2 linked regions of the Tamandua tetradactyla genome follow. The protein of the gene in region 1 purifies or fractionates together with the protein of each later gene. This does not show direct contact. Links are inferred from orthologs where the notes say so. Each region holds a gene or a part of one and is shown on either strand. Other genes may lie near its edges.

Evidence for each region.
Region 2: the proteins of RSRP1 (region 1) and C1QBP purify together in Homo sapiens (affinity purification with mass spectrometry; 3 studies listed by BioGRID and IntAct, counting the BioPlex papers as one, with this or other methods). This does not show direct contact. The link is inferred for Tamandua tetradactyla from reciprocal best matches to the Homo sapiens genes RSRP1 and C1QBP.

The regions. Positions count from the first base shown.
Region 1 is NC_135328.1:200,901,528-200,916,794, forward strand, and holds RSRP1 (arginine/serine-rich protein 1), read left to right. Parts: upstream 1-8,885; 5' UTR 8,886-9,140; intron 9,141-9,402; 5' UTR 9,403-9,439; coding exon 9,440-9,983; intron 9,984-10,656; coding exon 10,657-10,805; intron 10,806-12,335; coding exon 12,336-12,419; intron 12,420-13,009; coding exon 13,010-13,126; 3' UTR 13,127-13,430; downstream 13,431-15,267.
Region 2 is NC_135332.1:59,927,158-59,942,631, forward strand, and holds C1QBP (complement component 1 Q subcomponent-binding protein, mitochondrial), read left to right. Parts: upstream 1-7,415; 5' UTR 7,416-7,502; coding exon 7,503-7,734; intron 7,735-8,319; coding exon 8,320-8,470; intron 8,471-12,052; coding exon 12,053-12,146; intron 12,147-13,359; coding exon 13,360-13,455; intron 13,456-13,681; coding exon 13,682-13,804; intron 13,805-13,930; coding exon 13,931-14,080; 3' UTR 14,081-14,320; downstream 14,321-15,474. Other genes in the region: ATP-dependent RNA helicase DHX33, read left to right, coding at 3,156-3,464; RPAIN (RPA-interacting protein), read right to left, coding at 14,507-14,536.

The sequences.
Region 1 (15,267 bases):
TTGCGCAGAATTTTCTCAGCAGCCCCTAGGATTTGTTTAAATTCTCTGCCTTATTCAGGACCCGCTTTTCACTACCGTGTTTAGTTCAGGGACTCATCCTGTTTTACAGCAGTTTGGTTCCCCCTTTTTTTCCATGAGGCTTTTCTGTCTCCACTTTTTTCCCCATTAGGGTATCCTACCCCAGGGAATCAGAGGGGTCAATCCAGAAAGGTTTGTTTTGTGTTTAGGTGGTCCACCAAACAGAGTAAATCAAGTGTGTGCACCTCTTGCCAACAGTTCTACCACATTCCGTTTATTTCCTGGGGGCCTTTTTGTATGTACACACTAGTCAGCCATTTGTATTCTACCCTGGGTCTCTGTAGACTTGTGTCCCAATGCCGGATATACATGGGTTCTAACCTGCTGCTGCGAGTGGCTCTACGGTCTGCATTAACGATGGAAGGGACCCAGGATATGCTGCCTGTGTGTAACTCTTAAGCAGCTGGAACTGAGTGAGGAGGGTGGGTCCAGACTGGCAGGTCTGGGACTTAAATATCCTACCTTTTTTTTTTTTTTTTTAAACTTTCATTCAGCAATGTGGAGTACTTCCCCAGTCTCTCTCTCATACTCTAGGGTTCTGGGCAAGTGGGATTAGGAGATTTTTCTAGGGGATGTCTTACACTGCCATGTTGATGACCAGAACTGAGTCTCAAAAACCAAAATGGGGGGTGTACAGGTGGAGTTCAGTGGTAGAATGCTCACCTTTCATGCAGGAGACCTGGGTTTGCTTCCTGGACCATGCACCCTAAAAAACAACAACAAAACTAGAGACTATCCTAACAGCCAAGAGTGGCTAGAAATTTGTAGCAAATGATCAAAATGTCATTAAGGGACCCATTCTCCAGAAAAAAATGAAGTTCAACATATGAAACTTTGAGGGAAGTTCTGGGGAAAAAAAAAAAAACCTATCATATTTATAACCCATGTATCTCAAGCTCCTTAATAAATGACTTGTATTGCCACAAAGTGAGTGTAAAGAAAATAGTGATAGCCCAAGAATGATTGATGGAATAGAAGAGATATCCTGAAACAGGCTTAAGTATACATGGAACTTAATCTATGCCAAATGAAGCATTTCGATTTAATGGAAGAAAGGAGGTTTTATTAAACAAATGATGCTGAAGTAACTGGAAAAAACAAACCTCAATCCTTATCGCATACCTTATACAACACATATTTCTGGTGGAGTAAAGATTTAAATGTAAAGTACAAAATTAAAATTATTATTAGATAATTTAGAATATGTAACTTTTAGAGTAGGGGAAATATTTCTAAGCAAGTCAGGAAAAACGGAATCCAAAAATGACTAAATAAAAGTTTTAAGAATTTGGTATGACAAAAGACATGAACAAAAACAAAAGAAAAATAAATGATAAAAATATATGTAATACCACAGGACAAAGATTAATATCACTCAAGGGAGTCCAAAAGTACAGATAATAATAGAAATATGAATATAGGAGATGAAGCGGAAATGCACAGAAGTCTAAATAACCAATAAACACATGAAGAGAGGCTCAACTTCACTTTTTTGGGGGAATGAATGGTGCATGGTTTGGGAATCAAACCCGGGTTTCCCGCATGGAATGTGAGCATTCTATCACTGAACCACTTTTAATCAGGGACATACATATTAAAGCAAGAAAGATACTACTTGTTTACCTATCACTTTGGCAAAAATTTATTTTTTTGAAATATTTTTATTGAGAAATCTTCACATAGAGTCCATACATCGTGTACAATCAATGGCTCACAATATATCATCACACTGTTGTATATTCATCACCATGATCATTTTTAGAACATTAGCATCACTCCAGAAAAAGAAATAAAAAGAAAAAAATAAAAAACATACATCCCCTACTGCTAACCCCTTCCTCTCATTGTCCATTATTATTTCATTCTACCAATTTTTTACCCTTTAACCCCATTTATTTTTTATCCTTTTTTTTTTTTTTTTAACTCATCTGTTCATACCCTGGATAAAAGAGCATCAGACACGAGGTTTTCATAATCACACACTCACACTGTGTTCTAGTTTGCTAGCTGCTGGAATGCAATACACCAGAAATGAAATGGCTTTTAAAAACGGGAATTTAAAAAGTTGCTAGTTTACAGCTCTAAGGCCAAGAAAATGTCCCAATTAAAACAAGTCTATAGAAATGTCCAATCTAAGGCATCCCTCCAGGGAAAGATGCTTTGGTTCAAAAAGGCCGATGAAGTTCAGGGCAGAAGATGGCGAACACAGTTAGGGCTTCTCTCTTGGCTGGAAGGGCACATGGCGAACACGGTGTCATCTGCTAGCTTCCTCTCCTGGCTTCCAGTTTCATGAAGCTCCCTGGGAGGCGTTTTCCTTCTTCATCTCCAAAGGTTGCTGGCTGGTGGACTCTCTGCTTCATGGTGCTGCAGCATTCTCTGCTGTCTCTGATTCTCTTCCCTTCTCCAAAATGTTTCCTCTTTTATAGGACTCCAGAAGCTTATCAAGACCCACCCAAATGGGTGGAGACATGTCGTCACTTAATCCAGCTTCACAACCACTCTTGACTAAATCACATCATCCAGGGAGATGATCTGATTACAGTTTCAAACATATAGTATTGAATAGGGAATGGGATTTTGATTAAAACATGCCTTTTCTAGCGGATATACATCCTTTCAAACCACACATACTGTAAAAGCCACATAGTTATACAATCGTCTTCAAGAATCATGGCTACTGGAACACAGTTCAACAGTTACAGGTACTTCCCTCTAGCCACTCCAAAACACTATAAACTAAAAAGGGATATCTATATAATACATAAGAATAACATCCAGAATAACCTCTTAGCTCTGTTTAAAAATCTCTTAGCCACTGACACTTTATTTTGTCTCATATCTCTCTTCCCCCTATTAATCAAGAAGGCTTTCTCAATCCTATGATGCTGGGTTCTTGTTCATCCCAGGAGTCCTGTCCCACACTGCCAGGGAAATTCATAACCCTGGGAGTCATGTCCCATGTAGGAGGGAGTGCAGTGAGTTCACCTGCAGAGTTGGCTTAGAGAAAAGGCCACATCTGAGCAACAAAGGAGGTTCTTTGGGGTTGACTCTTAGGCATAATTATAAGTAAGCTTAGCTTCTTTGCAGAAATAAGTTTCATAGGTCTGAACCCCAAGATTGAGGGCTTGATTTATTAAATTGGTTGTCCTCACTGCTTGTGAGAATATCACGAATTCCCTGGATGTGAAAGTTAAATATTTCCTCCTTCTTCTCCAGTTCTCCAAGGCACTCTGCAAATTTATTTTATTTTATTTTAGTTTTTTATATACCAAAAAACACCAAACAAATGCAAACATTCCTATTTTGATCATTCCGTTCTACATGTATAATCAGTAATTCACAATATCATCACATAGCTGCATATTCATCATCATGATCATTTCTTGCAACATTTGCATCTATTCAGAAAAAGAAATAAAATGAAAACAGAAAAAAAATTTATACATACCATATCCCTTACCCCTCCCTTTCACTGATCACTAGCATTTTAAACTAAATTTATTTTAACATTTGTTCCCCCTATAATTTATTTTTATTCCATATGTTTTACTTGTCTATTGATAAGGTAGATAAAAGGAGCCTCAGACACAAGGTTTTCACAATCACACAGTCACATTGTGAAAGCTATATCATTACACAATCATCTTCAAGAAACATGGCTACTGGAACACAGCTCCACATTTTCAGGCAGTTCCCTCTAGCCTCTCCGTTACATCTTGACTAACAAGATGATATCTATTTAATGCGCAAGAATAACCTCCAGGATAACCTCTTGACTCTGTTTGGACTCTCTCAGCCATTGACGCTTTGACGCTCATTTCACTCTTCCCCCTTTAGGTCCAGAAGGTTCTCTCAATCCCTTGATGCTGAGTCTCAGCTCATTCTAGGATTTCTGTCCCACATTGCCAGGAAGGTCCACACTCCTGGGAGTCATGTTGCAGATATTTTTTTTATTCTCTGCCCAGATTACTCTGGGATATATCGAGGCATCACACTAACCTGTACAAACCAACAAGATCTCACAACTTTGGCAGAAATTTAAAAGATTAATAAAGAATTCAGAATAACAGGAGACATTCTCATATATTTGTGGCTAAAACTGTAAATCACGACAATCTTCTTGGAAAGCAAATGGCAATATATTAAATTACACAGATCCTTTAACCCAGAAATTCTACTTTGGGGGCTTCATGACATAGTAATAAAAGTAGCAGTGAATGATTGTTCATATTGAGGAATAGTTTTGAGTGTGAAAAAAGAAAAAGAAAACCACATGAATGTCTACAAATAAGTAATAATGACACAAGAACAAATTATGGTACTTGTAGGTAATGGAATATTATACAGCTGTTAAATAGCAGTAAATTAATCTACAGAATTTATTTTAAAGGATGTTCATTATAAAGGCAAGTTGCAAATCGGTTTAAAATGGGTTCATAGTCATCAAAAGCTCTATATGTCATATATATGTTTGAAAGAACTTGGAGAATGGTGTGGTAGGATACTCACTGAAATGCTAACACTGGTTACCTCTTGGGAGTGAGGATGGAGTATGGGGACAGGGTACGGATTATTAGCTTTTTCTCTATACCTCTTCGGTTCCTTCATTTGTTACAAGATTAGCTTAGTCATTAAAAGTAATGAAGAAATTTGACCTTGTTGGGGGAAAGGACAACTAAAAACTTTTAAACCCACCCAACAGCATCTAATACAATAAACATTCAATAAATATTTGTAGAATGACTAAATAAAGGACAAAGGATGTAATGGTTAATTTCATGTATCAGCTTTGCTAGCTTATGGTGTCTAGTTGTTTGGTCAGGCACTGGACCTGCTTATTACTGCAAGTGGATTTTATAGATGAAATGTAGATCTGTAATCAGTTGAGTACATGTAATGGGTTGACTGCATGTACAGCTGACTGCATCTACTATCAACTAATGGACCTCAGCAATGTGAGGTCCCTGCATCTAATCAACTGGAGGTCTCAACAGCCAGAACTGAGGATTTAAGAGTTTGGGAAGAATAATTCAGACTTAAATTCAGCATTACTCCTGCTGGAATTTCCAGCTAGACAACTTCCCCTGCGGAAATCAGACTAAGGACTTTAGTGTCATCTTTATTGGTGCTTCTAGCTTTCAGCTCACTTTGCCAGTCCCCACTGTCACATGAGCCAATTCCTTAAAATAAATCTCTTTATAGAAAGATAGATCTGTCTTGTCAGTCCTGTTTCTCTAGAGAACCCTAATACAGGAGGAGAGGAGGAACAGGTTTTAATATGTTTGGTAGGGCTAAAACATAACCATTAATAGCATGGTGAAGCACTGTAGAACCTCTAAATGAATAATGGGAGATGGGAAAAAGATCCTTGATCAAGCTGGCAAAATAAAGTGGGAAAAAGGGAAAAAAGCAAAGAGTAATAAATAATAGACACCAATGGAAGAGACAAAATCAATAAATATAAAAGGGATGACTTTACCTACCAAAGGAAGAAAACTTTCATATAGATTAAAAACTCAGCTAAGTGTTTTCTATTAGGAACACTTAAAACAAAGTGAACATAATACAAAGTGAATATATAACAACAACAAAAAAAGATCATATTCTTCACAAATACCATTAAAATATTTCAAAATAGGCCTAGCAAGATGTGCAAGATGTATATGAAAAAATCTATAAAATTTTAGCAAATTTTGCTGCTGTATCAAATTACCACATTCAGTGGCTTAAAACAACCCAAGCATATTATCTTATAGTTCTCCAGGTCAGAAGTCTCACTGGGCCAAATTGAGGGGTTGGCTGGGCTGCACTACTTCTTGTAGGCCCTAGGAGACAATCTCCAACATCAACTCATCAGATGTTGGCAGAATCCAGTGCCTTGAGGCTATAGGACTGAGGTCTCCAGGTCTTTGCTGATTGTCTGCTGGGAGCTGCCCTTAGCAATTAGAGGCCATTTTCTAGTCCTTGAACATAACATAGCCTCTTACATTTTAAATGCAGCAATAGGGCCTTGAATCCTTTTCATGCTTCCAATCTCTCATCCAATTAGATTAGGCCCACCCAAATAATTCAGAATAATCTATCTCCAGGTCCTTAATCTTTTTTTTTTTTTTTGTATGCTGTATGGCGGGGTCACATTTCATTCATTTTCCATGTGAGTAGCCCTTTATTGCAGCACCATTTTGTTTGTTTGTTTTGTTGTTTCTTTGTTTGTTTGGGAAGTGCTCAGGCCGGGAACTGAACCGGGTCTTCGCATGGCACCTGAGAATTCTACCACTGAACTACCCTTGCACCCCTTCAGGTCCTTAATCTTAATCATATCTGCACAATAGAAGATAACATTCACAGGCTACAGAGATTAAGGCATTAAATAATTTGGGCAAGCCATTAGTCTGTCTACCACAGTAAGGACTTGAAAAAATCTAAATAAATGGAGAAAATTATCATATTCTTGGATAGGAAGATGGACTATTGTAAAGATGGCATTTCTGCCTAAATCAGCCTATAAATTCAGTGCACAATGCTCTAATGACTGAAATTGGATTTCCCATCAGGTGGGTGGGCAGATGCTAAATCAAGATTGTATTATTTAGAGAAACAAAGAAACTCTAGTCTAGCATATTTTAACTCAGCCATTGATTTTCCAATATCCTTACTGTTATTATCCAGGCTTTTTCTGGCCGCCTTTTTTAGGCACTGCAGGAACTTCTGATACCAACTGCAAAGTAATCCTGACTCTATCTAGAGTTAGATCACATTCCACAGCTTCAAGGCACAGTCCTTCACAAGCCTGCCATCACTTAACACACCAGATAAAATTCTGGGGCTCAAGGCCACCTGCACTTCTGACCAACTGGTTACAAATTCAGGGGTTCCCACCACACTCTCAAATAATGTGCTGGAACCACCCACAGAACTTGGGAAAGCACTATAGTTACAATTACATTTTATTATAGCAAAAAGGATACAAATAAGGAACCAAAAGAAGACATTCATAGTGCAAGGTCTGAGAGGGTCTCAAAATTTGAAATTCCCCTGTCCTCTCCCCCGAGTTAGGATGTGACACTCTCCCAGCACTTAGATGTGTATTCCTGATCAGTGAAGCTCATGAGAGCTTTGGCGTACATAATTTTTATTGGGATTTCATTACATAGGCTTGACAGAATCAATGCCCACCTGGTCTAACTTCATGTCCAGTCCCTCCTTCTTCCTGAGAGGCGGGCGGCTCAAAGTCACACTCCTTATTTCCATGATTGGTCACCCCCACCCTGACTCATATCACCAGTATAAACTATCAGGTGTGGTCTGGAAGGCCCACCATGAATAACAAAAACACCTCTAGCACAGAAATTCCATTGATTTAGAGGGTATCTCCCAGGAACGAAAACCAGCCAAATCAAATTCTTTATTATGTAACAGGGACACATTTGAGTGACATTATAAACTGTCCACAAAGATTCCGATAATCATGAACTCAGACTCCATCATCTTATAAACATATTTTCACACTCTTTTCCTCCTAACACATCATTTTTGCACTTATCAAACGTGAAACTCATGAAGAACTTTCAATAATAGTTCCTGGCAAATGGGTACTGTATCTTCTCAACTTACTTGAGATAGTATTTAGCAATATGTCAAGGACATGAGTACACTTAAGAAATTATTTCCATTATGATGCTTTCTCAGAGATGTAGAGGATTACATCTGTGGTAAGATTTTTATTCCCTCCACTTCTGTGCATGTTTGAATATGTGGGGTGAAGATGAACAAAGGAATGTATCTCCCTTTAAAGAAAGTTGCTTTCGTGAAAATATCACTAATTTGTAAAGATGCTCATATAGCGAATAAATCTCCTTACAAAAGTGACCTGTTCATTCAATGAAAGGGGTTAAGTAACTCAGTTTTCAAAGCAACTGTCATGCTTTATCACCATAAATGTTTAGAATGTATCGTATTTGTAAATCCCTGAGAATAAAATAGTTGCCTCTAATCCTCAACACCAAGCACGCTGTCCTCAGAATCGACACCTAAGACAACATTCTGACCTCTTAAAGTCTAACTATGGTTGTTAAATGACTTAGGGTGGAGGAGCCCTTTTTACTTGTGACTGACAATTCTTAAGTTTTTTTAATGCCAATTAGTGACCCAATAGTTCCAGCCCTAAGAAGCATTAACAAACGCTCACTTCAGCTTCTTACTAAACGAACTAATAAGTGGAACGAGCGGCATCACGGATTTGATCAATTTCTTGCTTGCCTGCATTATGTCTCCACACTTTCTTACCTTTATTGGCCGAAACACAGAAGTAAAACACCTTTGGTAAGTTAACTATTACATTTACTGAGATTCTGTGGTCTTCAGGGTCGGGGAGCGGTCGCCCTTTCCCGATACGGGTCGGACACGAGGTAAGAGAAAGGAGCCAGTAAGGCACAGCAAGCATCTGCAGAGTCCCAGAACGACAACGGCGGCTTCTGCCAGACAGGCCGGATTCCAGCCCCAACCTACATGAGGCTCTTCCTCGTTCTCCCGCTCACCCGCCGACTCCCCGCCTGGCACTTATGACCGCCCCCGACCGTGCAGTCGGTCGGGAGCCTGGAACTGCGCCGCGCCGGGTCGTAACACGTTCTACGGGTTTTGGCCAAGAAAACAAAGCATGGCATACAGCCAAACACTAGATGTGGCAGCGCCTCCCTCCCCGCCAACAAGAGCTTTGTCGCGCACGCGCATCGTGAGGGCGACGCGCGAGGACGGGGGGGAGGGGCACGGGGAGAGAAGAGGCGGGCGGTGGTTGGTCGAGAAGGAGCCACGCCCATCGCCCTTACGTTTCTGCGCATGCTCCGGATGCTAGCTTCTAGTATTTTCGACCGCGTCTTTAGATTCAGTTGTCTTTGAGTTCGGACGCTAGAAGTCTCGCGCCGGGTCTTGTTGTTTGGGAAGCCGCTTTTCCTACCAGGCTTCGGAAGGAACGCGTCTGTTGGATCTCTTTAACTGTCTAGAGTGAGGTGCCTGCGGCCTCTGGGAAGTTTTCTGGTGGAGGGTCGGCTCAGCGGTTACCTCAGGTGTGGGCCGCGCGGAAAGTGGGGTAGATCGCGGGACGGGAACGCAAGCATGTTGCGTCGAGCACGCGGCTTCACGGCATTAACGGGATTTTAAGAACTGTTTCTCTCAGGACTAGTACCGGCTCGCGCCTGGCTAGGCCTGCGGCCTCTGGGAGGCGAGGACGGAGGGGCGGAGCAATCGGGCGGGGTGGTGTAATCGGGTGCGGCGACCAACTTCTGGCCTTGATCTTTCCTTTTGTGAACCTTTTTTTGGTTGCTTTAGGGACGTGTTTTCGAGGTTCTTCTCCAAGAAAATTAAGATGAAGTCTCAGGCTGAGATGTCCAACTACGTGAACGACATGTGGCCTGGTTCGCTGCAGGAGAAGGATTCCCCCTCGACGTCCCGATCGGGACAGTCCAGCCAGCGGTCTTCCTCGCGTTCCAGAAGTCGCTCGACTTCCAGAAGCTCTCGGTCCGGTTCCAGCGTCTCCAGTCGTTCCCGGAGTCGGAGCCGGCCCGGGAGAAGGAGCAGGTCACGGTCTCGCTGCCGGAGGCGCCACCAGCGGAAGTACAGACGCTACTCGAGGTCTTACTCGCGCAGCCGGTCGCGTTCCCGCAGCCGCCGGCACAGAGAGAGGCACCGCGGCTCCTACGGGAGGCATTACCGGTCTCCGTCGCGGTACCGACCCCGGAGCAGGTCCCGCTCTCGGGGAAGGTCTTGTTACCGAAGGGCCTACGCGGTCACGCGGGGGCGACGATGCTACGGCTTTGGTCGCACGGTGTACCCGGAAGACCACAGATGTTGGAGGTCGAGATCCAGGACTAGGTCGCGGAGCAGAACTCCCTTTCGCTTAAGTGAAAAAGGTGGGTGAAATGTCGTTGAGAGAGGCGCAGAGTTAAGGTTCTTGTATGAACAGTGTACGAGTAGGTCAGGGAACTAGAGGTAGGTACTGTGTAGTTTCAGTTTATTACCTTTGGTACATGAAAGGTATGTCGTTTGTCACTTTTTTTTTTAATGACAAGATTCCTGGAACGAAGAGAGCGGATAAAAAATTAAGGAAAAAAAAAACCTAAGGAAACGTGATAAAGTATGGGGATTTAGTTAATAGTGTGTTAGAATTGGTTCAACAGTTGAAACAATTGTTCCATAATGTATTAGTGTAAATGTAAACTGGGTGTATGGTACATTGGAACTCTACTGTGCTTGCAGCTTTTCTCTGAAGCCAAACATTTTTTAAGTGTATCTGTACCAAAAAACACCTCAAATTCAAAACTTTTTAGAGAAAGCAAAAAAAAAATATATGAAATTCAGGTCTTTGGTAAGGTAAACTTTTTATTGATATTAAAGATGCTTGTATTTTTTTTAACAGATGAAGATGTTTCCATGAATAAAGTTATACCTTATATTTGGAAATAAAAACAAATCATTCCAGCTCTTCATTGCTGTTCTAAATAAAACTCACACTTAATTCGTGATTTTTTGTCCTCTTGTGGAAATGTTATAGGTTTGATGAGATGTTTTTTTTATTCTTTGCAGATCGAATGGAACTGTTAGAAATAGCAAAAGCCAATGCGGCAAAAGCTTTAGGAACATCCAGCCTTGACTTGCCAGCTAGTCTCAGAACTGTTCCTTTATCTAAAGAAACAAACTGTGGAACAGCTGTACCAAGTGGAGCAAAATTCGAGGTGAGTGTTCCAGGTTTATCCAACCTTTTCAAAAGACTCCTACCAGAAGATCTGATTAGCCAGTTTTATTTATCTTAGACTATCTTCTCCCAAAAGCCAGCTAAATATAATTTGCTAATGTCAAAATACCAGATCTCAGAATGCTAGCCAGGTCTCACCCATGAAAATGGAAGCTTAGTAAACTTTATTTTGGATTGACACTACTAATCACTGTCCTAACACTGCTGATATATTGTAGCTGGTACTTGGTGTCTTTCTATGCAGTTGACAGATTTTTCTAAATTCTAGTCTTCACACAGTGTTTATCTTTAGCTTTCATTTGCGGCAGTATGTTCTCCACCAGTTCTGTACTCAAAATACAGTATAGTTTACCTGCTTTATTTCTGTCTTATAGAAATCTTGAATGTGGTCTCCAGACATTGATGAAGAAAATCTGTTGGTAATTGATACATGGGTTAAAACATAAGAAGTTTAAATAATTTAAAATTTAAATTCAAGCACTGAAAGCTTAGATTTTTGTTGTTTTGTTTTTTTTTGGTAGATTAAATGCATGCTAGAATTTGGGAACAGGTATCAAAAACTAACCAAAGATACACAGTAAAGATGGGGCATCTGTGAATATAGATGTCCCTTTCATAATATATGCAATATGTTCCAGATGTTTTGAGAGATTACAGAAGAAGAGGCCTGCTTCACTTGCAGATAAGTTTATTATAATTCTCAAGAATGTGTAGGATGTGCACTGGCATATGTCTTTTTAAATTATTCATGTAAAATCCAAAGTTTAAAACTCATGGCCTTGGGTGATGCAACAGTAGCGCAGTGGCAGAATTCTCCCTTGCCAAGCTGGAAACCTAGGTTTGATTCCTGGTGTCTGCCTATGCAAAAAACAAACAGAAAAAACAAGAACGCATGGCCTTAAATGTTTTAAGGAAGTTAGGAATTGATATTCATATGTGAATGTGCTTTTACGTTGAACTTTCAGTGCAAAGGTTTGAAGTTGTCTGAATTTTAAAAAAAGAGAAGGAAAAGAATCGCTAAATGTGAAACACAGGCAAAATGTGCTTTCTAGGTGTATGGTGCATTGTGATGCACCTACCATTGTGACCCAGATGTAGGTTTCCTTAGTGTGGTGAGGTTCAGTTGTAACTAGCATTAATAGATATTCTTAGTTGAGTTGCTTATTCAACTTATGTTGAGTTCATCTCAGATCCCCAAAATGGTGAATGTGTTCTTTCTTTGAAGAAATAAAAAAATGCGTTTATTTCTTCATTTGAAGAAACTAGGTATTTTCTGGTATGGCTTTACATTTAAAAGTTAGAATTCGAATAGGCCTTAATCAACTCTGTCATTAAATAACTTTTATTATGGGAAAGCTCAACAGAATATTTGGTTAGGTTGCTAACTATATGATTAGGTAAAACTTTATTTGTTTCTAAAACTGAATTTCTATACTATTAGGCTGTTTTTTATATAGTACTTGCAAGCCAGTGGTGTGTTTTTAAAAATACGTTTTTCTTATCTGTCTAGCTGTCGGAAGAACTTAAGGAAGATGAAACCAAAAATTGTAGTGAAAAATCTTCCCAGCAAAGAAGCATAGCTTTCAGCTCTTATGTAAGTTACCTAAGCATTGGTCACTGAAACATATTTGTATTAATAAGATTTTATTTCTGTTGGAAGACTTTGTGATGTGTGTTCTTATGATGATTTGGGGCCCTCTAAGCTTCTTTGTAAAATTAATATCTTTTATATTTTTGTGCCACTTTTATAAGTGACCCATATAAAGGGCTACCATATCTTAAAATTCATGTTCATAAGTTTTATATTAAAAGCACGTCTCAATGGTGGGCAACCGTGGGTCAGCAGGCAGAGTTCTCACCTGCCATGCTGGAAACCCAGGTTTGATTCCGGGTGCCTGCCCATGTCAAAAAAAAGCAAATCTAAAGATCCCCAAATCAAACTAACTCAATACGAGAAGGGTTTTTAAAAACAAGCTCAAAGTATATGATACCTATTATAATATAGCCCTGTCCATATTTAATTTTTCCAACTTCATTGACTTTGTGGTTTGACTTAAGTTACAAGTGAGTCCTCACTTTGCATTTTAAATCACATTATCATATTTTGCAAAGTATTTTAAGCTGTACATAAAGGTATGTAAGTATGTGTTTGGAACGTTGACTTAATATTTTGTTCTCTTACAGAATTCTGTAGCAAAGCCAATGTTTCAGAGATCATCTAAAGCTACTGTTGACACTTCTTCAGGATCCCCAAAAGTAAATGAGAAAAAAAGTCCATATAGCCTGTGGGTGCCTGTCTAAAAGAAAATCATTGGCTAATGTTGCCTGAAGCAGCACTTTATTGCAAGTTCGTGTCTCCAGCATTATCCTATTCCTATGTTTAGTGGTAATTGTGGTTAAAAGCTCTCATATGAGAAGATTTAAATACTTAACTAACATTTTAGGTTTCTCTTGCAGATGTGAGATAGCACAAATGGACCAGAGACTACATACAGGTGGGAGTCTTGTACATACACTTGTAAATATTTTGTATTTTATCCATTGGTTATGTAAAAATAAAATTTGTAAGACATGATAATTGATAATAAATGTCTTGTTTTTATCATTTTAGTCTCACTTCATTATGTAAATATTATCAGATGGGTCTTGGTTTAACAGAGAAAAATAGGGAAGTATTTCTTGTTCAAAGCCTTGGTACTTTCAAGGTTGGGACCCTACAGCATAGGGCTTTGTGTTGGAAGCTTATTAGAAATGATCACTCTTAAATCCCTTTGTATCTAAACCCACAGTAAACAAGGAACAGCCTTTAACAGCATTTGCAATTTTAATGGTGAATAAATATATGAACTGAAAGACTAGTCTAAATTAGACTAGTTACAGTAATAGTTTTGTAGTCCTTGTTCACTAATGTATTTATACCATTTTTAGATTATTTCTTCAAGTGTTTAATAGATCAAATATTTAAATTGAGCTTAAGGTGCAAGATACATATATTGAATTTAAAAGCCTATTTGCTGAGCTTTAGCAACAAAACCATGTGTCCTTGGTATAGAACTTTGGTTAAAAAAAATCCTATTACAACTAAAAAATAGATTTTTAAGAATGGGGGTCTACTCTTTAAATGAGGGTCTGCTTGGGACTTCATGAATTGCTAACATGAAAAAGTGCTATTGGACAGCTGCTCTAGACGATAACACTGAAAAATATGCAAGACATATGTATGTGTACCTTTCTGGATATATAATTCCTGTTAATAATTATCTAAATAGCTTTGGTAACTCAAGCCAACAGGAAATGGTTTAAATGGAATTTTCTGGAAGAAAGTTATTCTGGATAAACCTTCATTTCACATCCAGGTTAAAGTGAGTTATTGGGAAGGACAATATGTTTCCAAAGGAGAAAGTTTACAATGGCATGTTTGTGTGGAGTCCTAAGGAGAACTGAATATTAGCAAATTGCCTGGTTACAGTAAAAACTGGGGGCAATGGTAGACTTCTTGCCTGCCATGCAGGAGACCTGGCTTCAATTCCCAGCCCATGAACTTATAAAAAAATTTTTTTTCAAAAAGTGGTGCTTCAATAATGGAATGGTCACGTGGAAGAAGAATGAAACGTGACTCCCACCAAACAACATCCAGGAAAAAAAAACTGGCTAATTTTAGGACTTGTAATTTAGTATCAAGCTGGTAATGAAGTTAACTTGAGCATCAAGTTAGTATCATTAGTTGGTATCCTGTTTAGCAAAGTTCCAGAAATTGAGAAGAGACTCTTAAAAAGGAGGCTCTTAAAAGGAGAGACTTGAAGGGAGACTCTTAGAAAATGAATTGATGACGTAATGTTAAAATCTTTTGGACCTTTACTTAGCATAGTAACTGGTGGTGGAGAGAGCACTTTCTCATCTACAAAAGAGGCCTTTTGCTAGTATGGGGTGTGGTTTCTGAGATTTAATTCTACAGGGATCTGTCTCTTCAGTCTTTTTCACCATTGATTTCTTTAGCCTGTTAACATACTTGAGCCTACCTGTTTCTGAAAACCTTTCCTCTTCTCTCTTTAATCCTCCTCAGTCCACAGGCTTGTTCCTTCCAGTATCTTAAAAACAGTATACTTTATATTTTCTCCATTCCCCCCCCCCCCATAATCACCAAGTTGAACTTGTTGATTTGCCAGGACTAGAATGCTCATTAGTTCCTCTAAATCTTTATAATAAGGGATTATGCATACCCCTAAACTAGTCTTCATTACATATAAATGGAATTCAGTTGCAAGTATGGTGTCCTGTTACTATGTATGAGGACAGTGGAGCAAGATGGTCCTGATAATTAGTGAGACTCTAGATCAGGGCTGTCCAATAGAAATATAAGAAGTTACATTATAGTGAAAAGTTTCTTATATAAGAAATACATATTTTTTTATGTACTAAGTCTTTGCAATGCAATCCTGAAT
Region 2 (15,474 bases), on another chromosome or scaffold:
GTTTATTTGGGAGGTCATTTTCACTCTTACCTAGGGTTTTCTTATTTGTTGGCTCTGTTCTCTATCTGTTGTTTGGCATTCAGTTCAACTATTTCCAGACCTCTAGCATAGCTTCTGTTTAACTGATCAGAGTTTTTCAGCTCTTGTTTTTCTGGTTCTTGGTCTGCTTATATGCAACCATTTTTTTGAGGAGGGTCTACTCAGATATGATCAACCCCAGTCAGATTTTCTCAGACTGGACAGGTCCATGTCTCAGGTGGAGGGTGTAATCAGTATCAAGTTTCCCTGAAGGTGAGACCCAGCAGGTTGTCAGACTTTCCTATGAAGCCTCTAAACTCTGTGCTTTTCCTATCCTGCCCAGCATGTAGCTGTTGTCAGCCCGCAGCATCCCACCAGCATAAAGTGATGGGGTTCCTTTCATTCACAGCAGCCTCTCACAGCCAGTGGTGTGGTTGAGACAGAGGCTGAAGTAGGAGGTGTGCTTAGGTTGCTTTTGTTTTCCAGTGGGGCCTGAATTCCCTGAAGGGGGGTAGTCACTGACCTGGGCCTCGCCCCCCTTTTCTTGGGGAAGATATACCCATTAGGGAATTATCCCCATTTATTTGACTAATTATTTTGGTTCTCAGACATGCCTTAACTCCCCTCTTCCCTGGGGCAGTGCTGGAGCCTGAAAATGCCCGCAGTTCTATCTAGTGAGCTGTTATACAATGTGGAGAAAAAAAAAAAAAAAGCCTTTTCAGAGCTGGACCCCAGCTTCCCAGGTTTGCTAATCAAGAGCTGGAGTTGGTACAAAGCTCTGTGTGTCCCCAGACTCTGTGTGCCCCCTTTTCTTGGGGTCCAGCCCTTTTCCAGTATTTTTGTGTGTGTTTGTTTGGTTTGGTTTGGTTGCTGTTTTTCTGTCAGCCCCACCCCTCTCTGCCAAGGCAAAATCTCTGGATTCCTTTCGTACTTACTCCAGATTTATCTGTGCTCAGGGCCTGTTTTCAGCAGTCTGAATTTGTTAATTAATTCTGCAGTTAGAGCTTGGTTGAGCTACCTTCCTTGCTTCTGGTAACATCTCTTTCTTTTTCCCTTAGGGGACCAGCCTGCCATGCCCATAGGGGAGGGACACTGGCCTCTGTGGCTTGGGAGAGTTACTGTTCCGTGTGGGATCTCAGCCATTGCACCTGTTCCAGACTGGTGTACGCTGTGTGTCTGGTCACTGGTGTCCCACCAACAGTTGTTCCATACTCTTCCTGCCTATTTACTAGCTAGCTGTTCTCGAGGACATACTAATTTCCACACCCCACTACACCGCCATTTTGCCCTCAAAAGCTCCTCAGTATCTTACGGAACAATCTAAGGGGAGATTTGATAGCTATATAGAAACTCATGTAAGGAGGCAATAATATTTATAATAATCAGTCTTTTACGAAACATTTATTAAGGTGCCATTCTGAACAGTTTTCACATATTACCTTATTTTAAATCTTCATTTCATTCCCATAAGGTTGATTTTCTTCTTATTTTCAGTATACAGATGATGAAACTAGGGCCTAAGGAAGTTGAGTAATTTGTCTAAAATCACACAGTCAGTGAGTAGGAGCTAACAGTGTGGACGGGGAGACCAGTTGGCCATAGGAATCTGGGCTTCGTGGAGGTGGTGACAGCTGAGCTGTGTCTTGACAGACAGGGAGATGCAGAATGTCTTCATCAGGCAAAGAGGGGCTATTTGCAAAAATCAAAACTCCTTGACCCATCTTCAAGGGAAAAGGGGGGAATTATTCAAATAGAGTCAAGCCCCACAAGGCACTGGAATAAGGAAGTAGAAAAAGCCATCAGAACCAGAGCAACTACTGCTTTTGGACCTGCTTATCCTTTTGCTTTGGCTGCTCTCTGTGTGCTTCCTTCACTCTTCTCTCCTACCTCAGCCTGCAGGTGATTGTGTCAGCCCCAGCTCTACATGGCCTCTCCATGAGATTGATTAGATTCTCTATGGTCAAACTCTGAATTCCTGGAAAAGAGAAGTTGATAGGCCTGGCTTGGGTCAAGCAAGTATCTACCACTGTTCTCTTCAGCTGTAGCCAGGAACATGAGGTTACGTGGTCCACTCAGTAAGGGCAGTAGAGGGGCAGTTTCAACTTAGAGCAGTATCTGCAAAGGATATAGGAAGACAAAATTGGTGCCGCAACCAGCACAGCTCAGTGTCGGGACTGAAGAGAGGTGACAGGGAATTAAGAAACAAAGGCAAGAGAAAAAAATATAGTTAAATCTGGGACCAAGTGGGATTCTGAGCTCTGATGGAGACTCAAAGACCCCAAGAGGTTCAGCACTGCTTGTTTTATAGGGCTAGGAGGTAAAGAAAATAACAAATGTGTAACTAAAGAATGGGGAAGGAGGAAGCACAGGCTGAACCATCTGCTTCCCTGTGCCTGGATGAGTCAAAAGTTCCACGTTTCCCAAGGTTTCCTTCTGTCCCACGTTCCAGCAGCTTTGTAATACTTTAGTCTTTTCAGGACATCAGGTGCCTATTCCCACAGAGACAGCTTTGCTATATCACTGCAGCGAGCATGTAACCTCTGTCTCCAAATTGGGTCTAAGGAAGAGGAAAACAATTCATTTCCATAGATCATAAGATACCTAAGGAAGAGTGAGAGAAAAGACAGGCAAAGTGGGCTCCTGGTGGCTCAGCCAGATTCAGAAATTGGAAGTTTGTGGGGTTTTGCCAGTGGCAGTGGAGAGCCATTGAAGGTTTTTGAGTGGATGAAAAACGATTCGAGTTGTGCTTTAGGAAGAATAATTTGTTAGCAGGGTGTAATAAAAATTGGAGAGAAGAGATGATGTTGTCAGAGTGAGAGGAAAAGCCTTTCTTTTCTGGGAAGTCCTGGTAGATATTTAGGTGAGGGGGTGGGATGTCGGGCGACCATCCTGTCTGTAGTTTGGTAGCTTATATGAATGTCTCCTTCCCACTTACTCTCCCAGGCTGTAGTTTCAGTTCTTCAGCCATGCCTTCTTCCCATACCTCAGCTGAATCTCAAGGCATTGGACTATCAAGATCCCTTTTTTGAGGCTGGCAGTATGGGCTGCCTTGTGGTTCCAGTTGCTCTAAATACTGTGTTGTGGTGAGCAGTATTTATGTTTAGGTCTTTTCTATTTCTCACTTTCTCCTCCAATAGATGTCCATGCCAATCGTGTCATCCCGAGGCGATATGGAGAGCGTCCGCCGCTGTCTGGCACACAGCCTTTTCATGAACACTGCTGAGCTTCAGCCAGATGGGACCTATGCCACCACCGACACGCACCAGCCGGTGGCCATCCACCCCTCGTCTGTCCTCTTCCACTGCAAGCCAGCCTGTGTCGTCTACACTGAGCTGCTCTACACCAACAAGTGCTACATGCGAGACCTCTGTGTTGTAGATGCCGAATGGCTGTTTGAAGCCTCCCCTGAGTACTTCAGGAAGAAGCTGAGAACTGCCAGAAGCTGAGCTACCTGAACACTGCTGGGATGGCTGCTTGCCTGGGAGCTCGCATCAGAGCTGTCCTCATAGAGGCACCCATGTGGGCTCCTAGAGAAGTGGAGACTTTTAATCCAGCTGGACAGGCCTAACTTCCAGGAGTTTGAAAGCATCTTTCTAAGACTGAAGATTGTAAATGTGTACATGCATCTGTACCACAGAAACTTCATCATTTTACTTTCAGTTCTTTGGTGGCTTTGGATTATTTAGTAAACTTCTGAGCCTCAGTTTCTTCATCTGCCAAATGGGGATCAAAATAATAATGATGATGATGATGATAATCCTCATAAGGTTATAGAAGTTGCAAAGTTTAGAGAAAAATAATGCAAAGTGCCCAGACCTGTGCCTGGTGCATGACAGACACAATAAATTTGAGCCATTATGATCAGTGCTTTTTTAATATGCTGTGAATTGAGTGCAACAACATCCTGCAAGTTTTTGTGACTGTGAGGGCGTGTTTTCTGGAAGAGAGCCATTGGAGGCCGCAGAGCTTGGATCTGTTTTAACTTCCATCTGTAATAGAAAACATCACCCCTCTCCATCTCAGTTTCCACATTTGTCAGAGGGGATTAGAGGATCTCTACAGTCTCTTCCTGTTTTCCTGCTTTGAGAAGGGAAAGGACACCAAAGGTTCTTCTTAGCTATTTAATTATCAAAAGCAAATGATCTTTTCCCAGTGGAAAAGCCAAGATTTAGCCTCCTGTTCTTGTGTGCTTAATTGGCCTAAACATATCTGTGTGGTGTTTCTGTGGAAGTTTCAAGAGGGAGGCTGTCTCCTACCTCATGGGCTGGCTGCCCTGGCGAAGTCTCATTCCCTGGGGGTGGACCTTTGTGTGGCTCTCTCCAGGCAGAGAGCAATAAGGGAGAGCTCTCCAGTCGCTAGGCCATGCCTACCCCCTAGAGTCTCTCCAGCCTGGGTGCCTCTGGAGCATGCTGCTATCAGTGCTTCCTGGAGACAGGTAGTTTCCTGGGTTAAGGTTGATTTTTATCTTTTGCATCATGTCCAGTGCAGGCACTGGAAATGAATCTTATAACATGATGGCCTCCAGCATACCGCTTGTCATGTTTCTCTCTAACTGGGCACATATAAACATGTGAATATAATGAATGATGTCATGCTCTGTTTCAGCCATTCTCTTCTGGCAGTGCCTCTGGCACTGGTCAGAGCTGTGGGGAATAGGGAGATACACAGTCTGTGAGACCCCAGAGAGAGAGAGAGAGAGAGACTGGCTTGTCTCAGACCACATTTGGTCTTCATATTCTTATATCTTATTTTCTACGATCTTTTATCTGCCTCTTAGGAATTTGGGGACAACCTGGCTTTGCTACTTTCTGTGGGCCAGTCATCCCTCTCCAGCTCAGTTTCCATATTTGTCAGAGGGGATTAGAGGATCTCTACAGTCTCATCCTGTTTTCCTGTTTTGAGAAGGGAAAAGGCACCAAAGTTTCTTCTTAGCTATTATCAAAAGCAAATGATCTTTTCTCAGAGGAAAAGCCAAGATTTAGCCTCCTCTTTTTGTGTGCTTAATTGGTCTAAACACATCTGTACGTGTGTCTGATCATTGCTTACAAGTTCAAAGTGAGTCCTGCAGTTAAAAGCATGGGGCCAAACTGGGCCAAAGAGGCTTTTCACTCTGGGTCCAGCACGCTCTTCTCAGGGACCACAGCCTCGTGGAGTGCTTCCAGGTCATAGACCTGTTCATCAGGAAGCATGCCAAATCCGGTTCAGTTTTTACAACACTAGCTGCGGTCTTGAGTATTCAAGCTTTTAGCCAGTGTTCAGGGGTATCTGGGAGGTTGTGATTTATTTTTTAACAAATAGTTACATTTAGACCAAATAGGATTGACAGATCCTGTAGACCCCATCTTACTGAATCTTAGCTAACTTTTCCTCAGATTGACTTGCTATTACTGCTGTTGACTTTCTGAAAAGTTCCTTTTTTTTTTTTTTTTTTAGGTGTATTTCTTTTTTCCTTTATTTGATATAGGGCTAGGATGTTTACCCTGACTTGGTAGAAGCAAATGTATTTTTCTGTGCTCGTAAAAAATTGTTCTGGTAAAATAAAACTCTGCTGGTAAAAAATTGGGGAAAGGGTGATTATATTCCTTGGCAAATTATCTCTATAGCCAATCTCTGATTCAAGTCACACTTAACTTGGAGTAGTATATGTCCAGTTTAAGTACCTGCACAACTTCCAGAAATGTATATTCTGAGTGGGAGGAAGGCATAAAGGGTGTGACCAGCTTCTGCACAGGTTTAATGTTTCTGTACAGAAATAGTTGTACCTCTGTAACATTTTGTTGGAGTTTTAATATAGTATTTACTTTTTACTGAGCTTTTTCAGAAGTTAATTTATGACATAGCTGCTCAGGGATTAAATCAGATTGGAAAACCCATTCTGACTCCACATATTACCACAAATAAGTAAATGGTTATTTATATTGAGCTGCAGGGAATAGTACACTTTAAACTTTCATTAAGAAAGTTAAATATTTCAAAGTGATATTAAAATATAATCTTGAGCTACCCTTTTTCAATTGGTAAGATCTCTGATGGTGTGATACCTGTTTTCCAACCTGTAAAATCTGTATCTGAACTAGTCAATCTCTAGCTCCCATGAGCAGCTTGATGTAAATAGGTGCACTCCAAGCAGATTACATGCCTCCGATGTTTTTCTTCTATTTCCAGTCATGATGTGTGAAACATCCATAGTAACACAGATTTCATTACAAGGGGAAGGACTACACATACTGGGTCCTTGGTAAAAACCCCTTAGTGTTGCATCTCTGCTAGTTTTAAAGAGATACCAGAACAGAGAGGCAAGCTTTTGCTCTGAGGGTAAACACAATTATGTATTGTGATATATTATACAACTGCTTAATACGGCTGCCAGGAACTGCGGCCAGGCAGCCAAGATACCATTCCTTGATCATATGAAGAAGCCTGCACCTGTGGGACAACAAAAATTTTAATGTATTTTATTTGATCAGACTATTATAGCTTGAAAAAGAAAGAAAAATCTCTAAGAAAAATAATCGAATTGGTTCAGATTTATATTGTATTTTGAGAGGCTGCTCTTGTTCAGACAGATCCTATAGAAACATAAGCTCTTGTATATAATGCTCAGATTTGCACATAACCATAAAATCCATTAAAAATGAATCTTGTACATGAGTTGTGTGGCTTTCTTGCGTCTCCTTTCTCTTATTCGCAGAAAGCTGTTTAGAATACATTAGTCTTATCTTTACCACTCATTTGGGAAGACATACTTTTTTAGTATCCTATATATCCACTGTCTCCTGGGAAGTTAGGAACATTAATTCTTAACTACATCTGATGTTACCCATGGTTTCTTGACCCTAGAAAAATGAGGTCCTACCAGAACTTGTATGTAAGACAGGAGAAGGTGGGAGAGAACCCCACATTAAAATCATGGATCTTGCTCTTCAGAAACTCAAAGCCAGGTGGGGTGCAGGGAATCTGCCAGTAAAGCAGTAATGCCAGGAGGTTACTACTGAAGGAAAAATAAATCCTAGGGGCTGTGGGCACACAGGCTACCTTATGGGGGTGGTGGACAGTCCAGGAAGACCTCTTAAGGGAGGTGACCTTGGGTCAAGTGTTGAGGGAGTTGTAGGAGTATTGAGGGTGGGGGAAACGACGAGCCTGTACAGAAGTCACAGAAGACCAGGCGCGTTTTGAGAATAGTAGATGGAAATTTGGAGAATTAAGCAGCCACAGGGGAGAAGAGACGCTGGCGAATTAAACAGAAGGCCTCTGATCAGACGGGCTGACTCAGCTCAAGAATTAGGAACCCAGAGGCTCACTGACGGGAGTCACCCAGCAGAGGGCGCGATTTCACCCACGATGGGTTCCGTTTTCAAAGCAACTGCTCCGGAAGCGCTTCCCGCTCCAGGGCGGGACTTCCGGCAGCGCGTTAGGTCACAGGGCGCCTTGGCCCCAGTCGTCCTTAGCATTCGCACGTGTTGCTCCTCGGCTTCACAGTCGTGATGCTTCCTCTCCTGCGCTGCGTGCCCCGTGTTCTGGGCTCCGGAGTCACGGGCCTCCGTGCCGCCGCGCCATCACAGGCGCTCCGCCAACTTCTCCAGCCTGCGCACCGGCCGTGCACCCGGCCCTTTGGACTGTTCAGCTTGCACGCTGGGTCTGCTCGTGGGCCCGGCCTCCTGCGGTCTCGCGGGCCCTGCGGCTGCGGCTGTGGCTGCGGCGCACTGCATACTGAAGGTGAAGTCTCGGGGCCTGGAGTCAGATTCCTAGATGGGGTGGGGGAATCTCAGGAGGGAGAGGGAAACTTTAGGCCGGCACTTCCCGTACCCGCCCCCGTTTGTCAGTGCTTTTAAGTTGTAAGTTAAACCTTCCTGTGATCACATTTCCCCTCCGCCCCATCCACCAAGTATTTGACTAATTGAAAGAGATAAAATCAAACCCTGGAGGTCGACTTTGTACTTAGTCTCTAGAAGGTAAAACTTTGGGAAGACCCAAGGTCGTGATTGGAAGTATGGTTGTGTCTTGGCAGGTTGAAGAGGAGGATTGTTTTACTTTATAGTGAAACGAGGTAAAAAGTTCATTGTTAGAAATAACTGTCCCGGAATCGAGGTCAGCTTCCCACTGACAGTATTATGGCATTTTTACAAATGAGGAAACGGAGGCTTAATGAAGTTCATTGGGCCAAGTTCGCAAAGCAACATTTAATAGCTGAGATTAGAAACAGTGCAAGTTAATATGTCTAGCTGCGATAATCTGGGTCATTGTTTTATGCTTTATGCTGATTGCCTTTTCTTTTCTCTGTCATCTGTATTTTCGCTCTAGGGGATAGAGCTTTTGCTGAATTCCTGAGTGATGAGATTAAGGAAGAGAAGAAGATCCAGAAGCATAAGTCCCTCCCCAAGATGTCTGGAGGTTGGGAGCTGGAAGTAAACGGGACAGAAGCTAAATTAGTGCGAAAAGTTGCTGGGGAAAAGTAAGTAGTGGGCTGGAGGCCTGGGAACTCCAGGGGACCAAATCCATGACCCTGAAGGACTTGCCTTGGGTCATCCTCAGAACAACCTTGAGTTAAGGCAAGAACTTTGATATATGACTTTAAAGAGAGAGGATTTATTTGGACAACTTCATAAGGTGTAGTTAGCTCATTCACTGAATACAAATTTGCCCTGGACCAGTTATGGAGACAGTAAGGAAGTAATACAAAAGTATGTGGCTCGAAGTCTACTGGACTAGTAGAGATAGTCATTCAGTAAACCTTTACTGCTCAAGTGGCATGCCCTTCCTGAATTTAGGCAGGCAAATTTAGAAATTCAGTTAGTGCTAATGAAACAACATAATCAGTTTGATGTCTGGTTTATAGTGCTGACTGAAATGTTCCCTGGCTTTATGGCTCTCAATGCATACAGCAGGGGAAAATGTTAGATATGGAGCTCATCTGTAACACCAGTGGGTTATAGTATAATTCACATCAAACTGTTGTTTGTACTTATTTACATTATAGTTATCCAAAATCCCGTTACACAGGTAAGCATTTGTTCTAGTTTGCTAGCTGCCTGAATGCAATATACCAGAAACGGAATGGCTTTTGAAAAGGAGAATTTAATAAGTTGCTAGTTTACAGTTCTAAGGCCGAGATAATGTCCCAATTACAACAAGTCTATAGAAATGTCCAATCAAAGGTATCCAGGGAAAGATACCTGGATTCAAAAAGGTTGATGAAGTTCAGGGTTTGTCTGTCAAGTGAGAATGCACACGGCAAACACGGTCAGGGTTTCTCTCTTGGCTGGAAGGGCACATGGCGAACACGGCGTCATCTGCTAGCTTTCTCTCCTGGCTTCTAGTGTCATGAAGCTCCCTGGGAGGTGTTTTCCTTCTTCATCTCCAAAGCACTGGCTGGTGGACTCTCTGCTTCGTGGTGCTGCAGCATCCTCTGCTCTCTCTGAATCTCCTATTCTCCAAAATGTTACCTCTTTTATAGGACTTCAGAAACTAATCAAGACCCACCCAAATGGGTGGAGACATGTCACCTAATCCAGCTTAACAACCACTCTTGATTTGGTTACATCTCCAGCAACACGATCTAATTACATACAGTATTGAATAGGGATTATTCTGCCTTTACGAAATGGGATTTTGATTAAAACACAGCTTTTCTAGGGTACATACATCATTTCAAACCTTAGATTTTTTTCCCCAAAGATGTGTGCTTTTAGAATTGACATACTATATATATAATTCTGTATCCTGCTTTTTAAATAATATCTTTGAGATTTAGTTTATATACCATAAAATTCACCCTTTTAAATGTACAGTTAGTATTCACAAAGTTGTGTTTCAGTCACCACTATCTAATTCCAGAACATTTTCATCACCCCCCAAAGGAAACCCTGTACCCATTAACCATCACTTCCCCATCCCTCCCTGACCCTAGTCCCTGACAACCACTTGTCTACTTTCTGTATCTATGAATGTGCCTATTCTGAACATTTCATATAAATGGGATCATATAATAGGTGGCATTTTGTGTCTTGCTCCTTTCACTTAGCACAATGCTTTCAAGATTCATTGTATGAATTCCTTTTTATGGCTGAATAATAGCATTTTATTTATCCATTCATCAGTTGTTTGGACATTTGAGTTGTTTCTACTTCTGAGCTTTTATGAATACTGCTGTTGTGAATATTCCTGTAGAAGTTTTTGTGTTGACACATAATTTCATTTATCTTGGGTATATACCTAAGGAGCAAAATTGCTAAGTCATGTGGTAATTGTATATAACCATTTGAGAGAATGTCAAGGTGTTTTCCAAAGCAGCTGTACCATTTTACATTCTTATCAGCAATGTATGAGAGGATTCTACTTTCTCCACATCCTTGCCAACACTTCTTATTGTCGGTCTTTTTTTATTTGAGGCAGTATAATGGGTATGAAGTGGTATTTCATTATGGTTATTTATCTATTTTTGTTTTTGTTTTCATTGTGGTTTTGATGTGTATTTTCCCAGTAGCTAATGATGTTGAGCATCTTTTCGCATGCTTATTGGCCATTTGTATTATCTTTGGAAAAATGTTCAAATTCCTTGTCCAGTTTTAAATCGGGTTGCTTTTCTTTTTATTGCATTACAATAATTTTTTATATGTTGTATACAATTTCCTTATCAGCTATATGATTTGCCAGTTTGCTCCCATTCTGTGTGTTGGCTTTTCATTTTCTTGATAGTGATCTTTGATGGACAAAAGCTTTTAATTTTGACAAATACCAGTTTATCTGTTTTTCCTTTTGTAATTTCTTCTTTTTATGGCATATAAGAAACTATTGCCTAACCTAAGTTTACAAAGATTTAAATTTATATATTTTTCTAAGAGATTTATACTTTAGTTCTGTGTTTATGTCTGATCCATTTTGAGCTCATTTTTTGTAGATGATGCGAGGTGTGGGGTTCTGATTCTTTTTTTTTTTTTTTTTTTTTTTTTTTTTTGCCTAATGGTATAATGTGTTCTATCCTATACATAGATCAATTGTGTATTCTGTATTTTCACCTAAACCATTTTCGTCGGGTTGCATAGTGAGTCATAGCCAATTTTTGGCTATTATAAATAATGCTGTGATGAACGAACATCACTGCATTTCTGTGCTCAGCTCAGTTTATTCATCAGGGCTGTGGGAGATTAGACAGATTTTTGTGGCTGAACTTTAAACTACTGTTGTTCCTATGGGAAAGTGACTTCCTGGCAGGGCAGCCAGCTAACACAGCTCTAGGGGACAGCCTTTACCCTGGGTTTTTATGCTCTGAGACTGTTAATTGTGCCCCAAGAGGTGCTCTTTACATGAATTAAATGTGAAGTTTATCTGCTGGAGTTGCACAGCCAAGCAGTTCTGATTCTAAATCTTGTATCATCAGAATATTGACTCAACTTTGGAACATTACTTGTTTGTACCTTAAAATTGCTCGTACCTTAAAATTGTCATTAGTCAGTGTTTTTAACCAGTTTTTTGATTGTAAAACCTCCCACAAGTACTCTGAGGAATTGTTCTCTGTGAGGCCTCTCCTTCCTGGGGCCGGAGCTGCTCTTGGCCTCTAGTGCTCTTTCTTCCCTTCTCAGGGGCAGGTTTTGCAGTGAAGAGCTCTTAAAGGAGCTACAGTTCTACTCCACTAGCTTCTCAGATGCTGCTGGAGCTAAGCAACTTGCTTCTACAAGTTGGCAGTGTCAGCTGGCCATGGCCATGAAATAAGCAGTGGACAGATGGGGACTGTGATACTGGGATGTGGACCTGTCACAAGTAGCTCATCCATGACTGTAGCTGGCTGAGCTGAATGAACTAGTGCCTGTTAGTTTGACTTCCAGCAGCTGGCACATGGTAGACACACTTCAGACCTACTGGAACTCAGGGTTGGATGTAGGCACACAAGCATTTTTGGAAGTTCTACAGACAATTCAGGTGCACAGCCAGCTAGGACAGAGACATTGTTTCAAGCATTTTTTACTGTAGCAAGTTTTAGTACTTGTGTATTATTAAGACTACACCACTTCCGTTGTGTTTTCTTTTGCCCTTCTAGGGTCACTGTCACTTTCAACATTAACAATAGCATCCCACCCACATTCAGTGGGGAGGAGGAGCCCGCACAAGCGCAGAAGACTGAAGAGCCAGAGGTGAGCTTGTACCACTCTAACCAGACTTTCCTCAGAGTTCAGGCAGGCTAGAGGAGGGACTTAGCAGATAAGCATTTCCTTTTTTTTATTCCTCTAATGCTAGAAAAGAGAACGCAAAGGAAAACCATCCTTGGGACTTTTGTAGAGTATCAGAGCCAGCAGTTTGTTGCCAGCTTTAGCCCTGGAACTGTGTGGCACCTTTCCCTTCCCAGGGACTGAATTAATTGCTATCTGCAGGCCTCGGCTTTATAGTTTGACCAGTTTTCGTTCTCTGAACAACTGAAACTGTCTTACCCATCTAATGATGGGGGGACGTTTAACACTGGAGACTATAGTTTACAGTGCTGAGGTATAGCTAACATGTGATAGGCTAGTTATAAATACCCAGACACTTCAGCCAAGGTAGATGTTAACACTTGGTGGGATCTTTCTTTACTGTCCATCTTGGTTAGACCTGGATGGTGCCCAAGCTTTTCAGACATTTTAATAAGCAGTGTGCCTGGCCTAGAAACCAACCAGAATCAGGGCCATAGGTTCCCCAGACTTTCTGACTAAGCAGTCATCAGTATTTCCTTATGACCTAGGTGGAGAGCACAGCTCTCTGGCATGCTTTTGTCTCAGCCACCCCAACTAGCATCTCCCTGACAGTATACTCCAAGGGCTCATCATCAAAAGAAGTGCTGCTTTTTATTCAGCCATTTGGATGACCAGTTAGTCAGTTGCTCCTGCCTTTGATCTTGGGCCCTAATAAAGGAAGAGTCCTGAAACAGTCAAGGCCACCTTTAGAATGTACAGATGGAAAAACAGAACCAGGGAAATTAAGGATTTATCTAGAATTGCAGTTAACTGACACATAGCTGGGGCTGGGATCCAGATTTCTTAATTCTAAACCTACTGTGTTCTTTAAACAAGTAGGTACTAACAGATATTTAAACATTTTACTAAACATTTGATATTCTGCCCTCCAGAAGGTAGTTTAGAACTCTAGAAAGGATCAACTGGAAGAGTTTAGGCCAGTATCCTGAATGAGCTAATATGTGTGTGGCTTTAGTACTCTATATTAAAGATTCTAGGCTCCGTATTTGGGGACAATATAACATAAGACTTATAAAAATAGCTAAAGAATATCCTAAATGGTGTTGGTTTTCAAACTCAGCTATCTGAGACCTTTGCAAATAATGGCCTGTACTGACTGCTTGTTCTTATTTCCCAGCCTGAATTGATGTCAACACCCAATTTTGTGGTTGAAGTTGTAAAGAGTGACGGCAAGAAGGCCCTTGTACTGGACTGTCATTATCCAGAGGACGAGGTTTGTAGGGTGGAGTGCTAGCCCCTGGGGACAAGGAGTGCCTCCTGGGACCTTCCTGGTCCTTCTTAGTAGATGCTTATGCCTTTTAGCTTAGATCAGCAAAGTGGGGAAAGGGAGAGGGAGGAGAAGCAAAGTGAGTTTCAAACTGTAAATCATTCCTTTTCCTTGCATGAGTCTGACTTGCCCAGGGGAGCTCTTCAGTTTCCCCAGTATTGTTTCTTCTCAGGTTGGACAAGAAGAGGAGGACGAGAGTGACATTTTTTCCATCAGGGAAGTGAGCTTTCAGTCCACTGGCGAGTCTGACTGGAAAGACACTAATTACACACTCAACACAGATTCTCTGGACTGGGTAAGTGCTTGATGAATAGGGGATGCTCTTGGGCCTTGCAGGGGAGGGTCCTAGTCCAAGGAGAAACAAAAGCATTTACAGATGGAGTCATTTTTTTAAAACTGGTAATGGTGCTCCTCTTTTTAGGCCTTGTATGACCACCTAATGGACTTCCTTGCAGACCGAGGGGTGGATAACACATTTGCAGATGAGCTGGTGGAGCTCAGCACAGCCCTGGAGCACCAAGAATACATTACCTTTCTTGAAGACCTCAAAAGTTTTGTTAAGAGCCAGTAGAGCAGACATTGGAAACCTTCTTTTTAGGGCAGGCTTTGGCCAGTGAACAAAGCATATTCCTTAGGCCAGACATATATCTGCTTTGAGTTATCAGCCTAATATCATGGAAAACTTTTCAAATTTAAATTATTTCTAATACACTCTTGTTTACTATTCATTTGTTCCTTCCCTGTAAAACTTTCATTTTTAGATTTTTGTATGCCATAATGATGGAAAATAAAATTGGTTTTTCTCCTTCAAGGTAGTTTCTCATTTCTATTTCTATTCCTTCCCCTTCAACCTGCAACACAACACACCCAGAGCAGAGACATTTGAAACATTTTTAATACAAAATAAGTTATAAATAAAAGGTTTATATATACAAAAGGCCCTTTCTGAGATGGAATAAGTTGTTTCCAACCTAAGAATGATGAGTCAAAGCTGGCTTCAGAGGATAACAGCCCAAGTATCACAAGCCTGGATTTAAATTGAAAAAAGTTACTTTAAAATTGTATTCAGTTAAGAAAATTATCTCAGTATACTAAAAGTTAACAATCAATCATGACATTGATGCTACAATTAGAATTCCTACAGACGAGATGACAACAATCTTTCAAAATGTTAAACTCTAGGATCCTGCTTAATACAATCTGTCCTTCCTTCTCACTCCTGATTCTCTTCTTTGCTGTGAATTCCTACTCAACAGCAGGCCTTCCTGCTGACCCTGCAGCCAGTGGTCTGTCATGCTCCCCCTAAGACTACTGATGCCTCCCATGGTACTCCAGGCTTCAATATCCATTTGGCTCTGCTGCTACTTTGAGCTGCAGGGAACTGGTGGTCAGGTGAGCAGACAATTAGGGCCATGACAAAGGTACACTGCTTCTGGGGCAATTAGGCAATCCTTTGCTGCTTTAATTGCCATTCCCATTCCCTCTAGCACTAAAACTTTCACACTCTTGAGCGCCACACTCCAGTTGTGCGACTGTTAGTGTAGATGGTTCACTTGTTTATGTTACTAAGAAAGCTTAAAATGAAGCCATTTGACCTGTGCCTCTTCAATTCTCCTTCCTCTTTAATTCTTTTCTACAAAAACATATATTAAGCACCTACCTATGTCCTGGACTACGTTAATAGTACAATTATAAAAATATGCTATCATCAATTGTAACAGATACTCGACACCTGTGCAAGGTGTTAATAATAGGAGTCCTATATTTTATGCATGATTGTTCTGCAAACCCACAGCTTCTCTAGTAAAGGGGGAAAAAAAGAGAAGGTAGTACAGCCAGGCTTCCTAATTCCCCAGACCAACACTTCTTCCATTATCCAATGCTTCCTCTGTCCATTCCCCTTTCAGGGAATAATTGGCCTTTTATTTACAGGGACTTGTTAATTTTCTATACAAGCAAATTCCT